2 linked regions of the Cricetulus griseus genome follow. The protein of the gene in region 1 interacts with the protein of each later gene in a pairwise test. Links are inferred from orthologs where the notes say so. Each region holds a gene or a part of one and is shown on either strand. Other genes may lie near its edges.

Region 1 (4,383 bases):
ACAACACAATTCGAGACACTCCTTCCTTTTACACTGGAATTCAACGAATACAAATCTCAAAAACATTAAGGACTGCAAATCATTGAAAGTGTGCACGGCCATTAAGAAGTAGTAAAATTTGAATGACTCCATAGCAAGGGGGAAATATATATATATATATATATATATATATATATTTATTTATTTATTTTTAAAGAGAACATATGGACTTGTTTCAAAACTCAAAGGATATAAAAAGAACTACATGTTAGGAAAAGCGTCTTTCCTACCCGGTCATCTTTCCTAGAGAAATTCTGTCTTCCTCCACAGACGCGGATATGGTAGAGTAGCTAGCTAACCCTGAGCAGTCGGACCAGGTGCTAGGAAACCCTCTGATCGCTTTACGTGACATCCTCACAAAACCCCGAGGCGACGACCTATGGTCTACTTTAAAGGAGTAGTCACAGCCATACAAAGCACCAAATACACTTAACCTTGTATACTCCAGAGTGTCCAGCAATCTGCGCTTTTTAAGCATAACACATCCGGGAAGACTCTTGTTCACATATCTGGACAGTGTTCCATTTAATGTGAATGTAGCTATTAATAATAAATGATAGGCCAGTGGCCAGATGACAGTGTTTTTTTGTTTGTTTGTTTGTTTGCTTGCTCTGGTTGGTTGGTGGTTACTTCCTGGGACAGGGTCTGACTTTGTAGCCCAGATTAGACAAGGCTGTAACTTGCCGCGGTCCTCCTGCCTCTCCCTCCCAAGTGTGGGAGGCATACAGGAGTGCCCGCAAGATTGCAGCTGCTGAAACGGGCGTGGGAATGCCCCGCAGAGGGTGGCGCCTCCCGAACTCCAGTCCCAGCTATCTCGTCAGACTCCGCCCACGACCCCCACTTGCAGGGATCTATCGAGTCTCCAGCAAGTTCTAGGGCTACAGGGGCCGGAAGTGTTTGAGGACGCTGAGCGGGCCCGCCCCTCAGCTTCCGGCACTGCTATTGGGAGTGCCTTCTGCAGGCGTCCGTGCCTGGTCGGTAGGATGGCGCTAGGCCGCTGCGGTTGTAGCACGGAGAGCAGGGTGCTGCTCCACGTCCTCGCTGCCCTCCGCCATCTGTCCCCGCTGGCGGGGCATGGGGGCTTCTTCCGCTTTGTACGCGTTCCCCGCCGCCAGTCATCACAGAGATGCGGACCTCCGCCGTCCTAGCCCTCCCGCCCTGTTCCCGCGTGTCCGCTAGAGCGTCTCCTCCTCGTTTCCGGTTGCCCTGGAGTCCGGGGCGGGGCGTGGGAGAAGGGGGGCGTAGCACAACCTCGGAGGGAACTCGTGAGTTTAGGTCGTGTGGAGACGCCGGAAGCGTCGGGAGGGAGGCCGGAAGCTGGGGGGCGGGGCCAGGAAGTGAGGAGGGGCGGGGGTTTATGAGGAGGCCGGGGGAGCGTTGGGGCAGATTTGCACTCAGGTCCACCTGAGATACTTGTCGGTGGTGCTCACCTCAGTCCCCTCCCCTCTCTGAGACGCGATTGTCGTCTAGGGGTAGGGGACTGTGTGTGCAGCGGTGGGCTGGTCGGGAGGACATTCCTCCGGCCTCGCCGCAGGCAAGGTGTGGGGAAGCAGGGCTTGGGGTGGGGACGGGTCTCCTGGGCTTCTGAGAAGGAAGACCCCCCCGCCCCCCCTCGGCCCCCACCACACTTCTACACTGGCTGACTGGACACTAAGATGGCTGCCGTTGCCATGACACCCAACCCTGTGCAGACCCTTCAGGAGGAGGCGGTGTGCGCCATCTGCCTCGATTACTTCACGGACCCCGTGTCCATCGGCTGCGGGCACAACTTCTGCCGAGTGTGTGTAACCCAGTTGTGGGGCGGGGAGGATGAGGAGGACAGGGATGAGTTGGATCGGGAGGAGGAGGAGGAGGTCGGAGAGGAGGAAGAAGTGGAGGCTGTCGGAGCAGGCGGGGGTTGGGACACCCCCATGCGGGATGAAGATTATGAGGGTGACATGGAGGAGGAGGCCGAGGAGGAAGAGGAGGGTGTGTTCTGGAGTAGTGGTATAGGCGGGTCCAACTGGGACAACATGGACTATGTGTGGGAGGAAGAGGAGGAGGAGGAAGATCTGGACTATTACTTGGGAGATGTGGAGGACCTGAGGGGGGAAGATGAGGACGAGGAGGAGGAAGTGCTGGAGGAAGATGAGGAAGAGGAGCTAGATCCGATCACCCAACTGCCGCCACCTCCAGCCCCTCGGAGGTGCTTCACTTGTCCCCAGTGCCGAAAAAGTTTTCCTCGGCGGAGCTTCCGCCCCAACCTGCAGTTGGCCAACATGGTCCAGGTGATTCGTCAGATGCATCCAACCCCTGGTCGAGGGAGTCGTGTGAATGAACAAGGCATCTGTCCGAGACACCAAGAAGCCCTGAAATTGTTCTGTGAGGTGGATGAAGAAGCCATCTGTGTGGTGTGCCGAGAATCCAGGAGCCACAAACAGCATAGTGTGGTGCCATTGGAAGAGGTGGTGCAGGAGTACAAGGTGAGTGAACTAAGCAAGGCAAGAGTTTAGTAAGGGTAGGGAGGAAATAGAGGACATCGGGCAAAGGGAATGTGGGTTCTCTTACAGGACCTCATGTCCTGCAGAAATGATTCTCCCTGTCCAAGCACTGACTTCCAAGGTCGATAAATTACAAGGATCCTGAGACTTCCTCTGTGGCTTAAGGATAGGAGTGCAAGTGACAGAGAGTGCATTCATCCTTCTGGATGGATCTTAAGTCTTATCCATGACAGAGTCACTTCCAGATGGAAAGAAATGGGACCAAAAAGAACAAGGGAGTCTGAAACAGGAGCATAGAAATAACTAGTGTCAGACCCAAATACTCTGCACTTGTTTCCTAACGGGTTCCACACCCATCCTATGATACAGATTTGCTGGTTGGCTCAGCACCCAGTCTCATGTATTAACCAGAAAGGAGGGTTTTAGGGTAAAAATCTTGTGTCTTTAAACTTTTTTTTTGTTTTTGTTATTTTTTTGAGACAGGATTTCTCTGTGTAGCTTTGGAGCCTATCCTGGCACTCACTCAGTAGTAGACCAGGCTGGCCTTGAACTCACAGGAATCTGCCTGCCTGTGCCTCTGGAGTGCTGGGATTAAAGGTGTGCCTACCCGGCTTCACTTTGAACTTTAATTATTACAGGAGTTAATATTTATAGGGCACTTCACATATAGTCAGTACTGTGCAGGTCACTTTTTGTGGATTATCATTCATAATTCAAAGTCACCATGTGAGTTTGATGTTTGCCATTCTCATTTTATTGATTGGGAAACAGGGTTAAATTCTGAACATGGATGTTTATGTATATACAGCTTTAATAAGTGATAGACTTGGATATGAACATCTTCCTCTTGGGGCTCCTAGGTAACACTACTTGGATATTTTAGTTTGACTTTTTTTTTTTTTTTTTTCTCGAGACAGGGTTTCTCTGTGTAGCTTTGGAGCCTCTCCTGGAACTCACTCAGTAGACCAGGCTGGCCTTGAACTCACAGAGATCTGCCTGCCTCTGCCTCTGCTTCCCAAGTGCTGGGATTAAAGGCATCCGCCACCAACGCCTGGCCTAGTTTGACTTTTCTGATGTGACTGTTCTAGGAATCTAATTCTTGTTTGGTTAACTGGCTTGTTCTTTATTTCTCTAATTCTTTGGACATATGTAAAGGACATGTGTCTGTGAAGCAGCCAGCACAGATAGAACTATCTTCAGATTTGAAGCCATAGAATCAGGAGGAGAGGGTAGCCTCCTCTGTATGGCTGCCCAGAGCTTTGTTTGTGACTAATGTTTCTATGCCTCCTCCTAATTCAGTCAGTAACTTCATTTAGGTGATCATCACCTCCTCAACTTTAGAGTCTAAGGCTTCACAGCTGATTGTCAGTTATTTGAGGAGATGTCAAAAGTACAGTGGGCCTTACTGCAGAAGTTCTGAATTAGAGTATCTATAGAATAGTCATCCTAAAATGGGCATGATAGTGCAAGCTTTTTATCCCAACACTTGGGGAAATAGAGGCAGGAAGAACAGTTCAAGGTCATCCTTGATGTAGCAAGATAGAGGCTAGCTCAAGATACATGAGACCTGAGGGCAAGAAACCCTTTTTGTTTCTTGTTTGTTTGTTTGTTTGTTTGTTTTTTCCTGGACAGGGTTTCTCTGTGTAATAGACCTGGATATCCTGGAACTCATTTGTAGACCAGGCTGACCTCAAACTGACCTGCCTCTGCCTCCTGAGTGCTGGGATTAAAGACATGAACCACCACTGCCTGCTTATGTTTATATGTATGTTTTGTTTTTAAATTACTTTAGTTCTGGTTTTAGGAGGCAGATTTTCCCATATCCCTTTCTGTCCTGGAACTCTCTGTGTAGACCAGGCTGGCC
Region 2 (2,741 bases), on another chromosome or scaffold:
AGAGGGTGAGAGGAAGCTCGGCTTGTGGCCCTGAGGCAGAGCTACCGCCGCTCTGAGATCAGGGTTTGTTTAGATTTGGTAGCTGTTTGAGCACAAGACAAGCATCTGTCTTGGTGACAAGACAGATGAGCCATTAGAGCACGTGAGCCAAACTAAGGTCTCTGTGGCACTTGGAGAAAAGAGGAAGCTGAGATTTAGAATGAAGCTGACAGACAGAGACCAAGTTGCTGGCTCATGCCTGCTGTTTGGCACCTCCTGTGAGGTTCAGGCCAGTTGGGGCTACAGAGTGTCAGACCATGTTTGAGGGAGGGGTAGAAGGAGAGTGGGACCTAGGCATTGGTTTTGGAGTGTACTGCATAGGGTCAGTTTCTGAAAACTGTGGCCTGGGGACTATAAGAAGGCAGGGAGCCTACCCCCTACCCCGTGATCTGCAGTGTTCCTCTGCCACGGAGCTACATCCCTAGCCCTTTTTCAGTGACATGGGCCTTACTAAATTACCTGGGCTGGCCTGGAGTTGGTGATCCTTCTGCCTTAGCTTGGAGTAGCTGGGAATGGGCAGGGAATATACTTGCCTAACACATGAGCCTAGTGCTGGGGGCAGGTGGGATCTAAACCAAGTAGCTGGGATACATCACAGGCTTCTGCCACCTGCCTAGGCTGAAAGGTAAGGAAGCCATTCACTGGGGAGAGCCTCCTGCTGGGAACAGAGCTAGCAGTAATGTCCTGGGCTTGGAGTAAGCGTGACTAGTGTGAGGGGTGAGGGCAGACAAGGACTTCAGAGCAAGGCCAGTGAGGGGCTGGCTAGTTCACTCAGGCCGCCCATGTCCTCCTTGTGTGAAATAGGAAGCACTGGAGGACTGAGCCAAGAGGTAATGAGGGCTGCCTTATCTCCAAAGGCTTCTGAAGTCAGTAGAACTGGCTGGCGAGACAGGTAGGGAGCCAGGGACCTAGCGGTGACTCACGGGACCCCAAGAGCTGCTGCAGCCAGTGTGCTATCAGTGAGAGGAAGGGAGCAGAATCTGGGCATAGTGTTTTACATTTGTTTATTTATTTACTCATGGGGTGGGGGTGGAAGTCAGAGCACAACTTGTGGGAGTGGTTTTTCTGTCACCACGTGGGTCTCAGGGATTGAACTTGGATCCTCTGGCTTGGCAGCCAAGTGCTTTTGTGCACTGAGCCATATCACCTGTCTGTCTGCCTGCCTGCCTGCCTGCCTACCATGTGGCTGAACGTGGAGCTCACAGGGAGGAGGTTGGTGCCAACCAGGCTGTGCCAGTCAGCTAGCTCTAAAGCACCCATGGAATGAGGCTGGTGCAAGTAGGGCTGGCTGCCGGTCCCCACCTGTCCCGCCATGGCTGTTTCTTCTCTTCCTGAGGGTCTCTACACTGGAGGGGATTTCTGATCTTTCCACTGCATGTCCAACTTGGGGGTCACTGAGCCTTCTTGGTGAGCCCTGGCTGGCCTCAGGACACCTATGCCCCAGCATAGGTCTGTATCAGGAGTGGGAGGGCTCCCGAGCGCCCGAGAGGCGGGACAGCCTCTTGGCCCCCCGCAACGCTGTGGCCTCTCTTCTTGGCAGGAAACACACCGGGGAGAAACCCTTTGAGTGTCCCAAATGTGGGAAGTGTTACTTTCGCAAGGAGAACCTCTTGGAGCATGAAGCCCGGAATTGCATGAACCGCTCAGAACAGGTACTTGGGAATTGGGCCAAGTAATTGTGGGCAGCAGCCCAGTGACCGACCTGTGTCCTCGTGCCATCTGGGAAGGACCCCCAGGAAATGCTACAGGGTTATAAAATAGGAGCTGCAGGGGCCTTGGATGCCATCACATCCACATTCTAGTACAAGGGGACACTTGTTCAGAGGGCACAGGGGATAAGCCCTGGGGGGATGTTTTGGGTTAGCTCCATCTTGGGCTTTGGAGCAAGGAAAGTGTTTGTGGGGGTGGCTGCTGGGAGGGGCTGCCTTGCATGCCCCCCTGCCACAGGTGGGTAGTGTTTGGCTAAACCCCACCCTTCTCTTCCTAGAGACAGTAGCAGCTGCCCCCTCCCCCACCTGTGTGGAGATGAGAAGGGTCTGGTGTGTGGTTGTGGACAGTGCTCTGTGATGGTTAAGGCAGGCAGGTTACATGTTGCCCTCTCCTACCCCAGCATCCCTTACCCCAGGCAGACACTTCCCAGCAGCGTGTGGAAGCCCCTGCAGAGGCTGCCGTCGCAGGCAGAGGCCCTCGCTGATGCTGGCCCTGCTTGCCCCTCACACTGCCAGGTCTTCACATGCTCCGTGTGCCGGGAGACCTTCCGCAGGAGGATGGAGCTGCGGGTGCACATGGTGTCTCACACGGGGGAAATGCCCTACAAGGTCAGGCCGAGGTCACCGCCTGGGTGGGGATGTGGGTCCCTTTGCCTAGGGTGGTATCTGGCACCTCTCCCTCGAAGCCTGCCTCCCTTGTCCATCCAGTGACACCGTATAGACAGGGACACTTCTCTAGCCACCCGTGCTCAACATTTCTCTGGGCCTGGAGTGATGGCTGAGCATTGCCCCTCTAGGGAGTCCCCCTTCAGCAGACTGGGGACTGTCCTGGCATTTGGGTTAGGCCCTTCTTCACCATGACCTGACAGCAAGGCACTGATGGTGCAGGGTGCTGAGGCTGACTGGGCCTCTTGTTTCAGTGCTCCTCCTGCTCCCAGCAGTTCATGCAGAAGAAGGACTTGCAGAGTCACATGATCAAGCTGCACGGAGCCC

Evidence for each region.
Region 2: the proteins of Trim41 (region 1) and Zbtb48 interact in binary tests that used the Homo sapiens proteins (3 or more experiments, as listed by UniProt). The two-hybrid records come from large-scale screens. The link is inferred for Cricetulus griseus from reciprocal best matches to the Homo sapiens genes TRIM41 and ZBTB48.

Annotation. Positions count from the first base shown.
Region 1 is NC_048600.1:63,472,485-63,476,867, reverse strand, and holds the start of Trim41 (E3 ubiquitin-protein ligase TRIM41), read left to right. Parts: upstream 1-1,385; 5' UTR 1,386-1,694; coding exon 1,695-2,501; intron 2,502-4,383.
Region 2 is NC_048595.1:4,334,007-4,336,747, forward strand, and holds part of Zbtb48 (telomere zinc finger-associated protein), read left to right. Parts: intron 1-1,579; coding exon 1,580-1,691; intron 1,692-2,264; coding exon 2,265-2,357; intron 2,358-2,668; coding exon 2,669-2,741. UniProt on the Homo sapiens protein: Plays a critical role in transcriptional regulation and chromatin remodeling. Acts as a regulator of telomere length. Directly binds the telomeric double-stranded 5'-TTAGGG-3' repeat.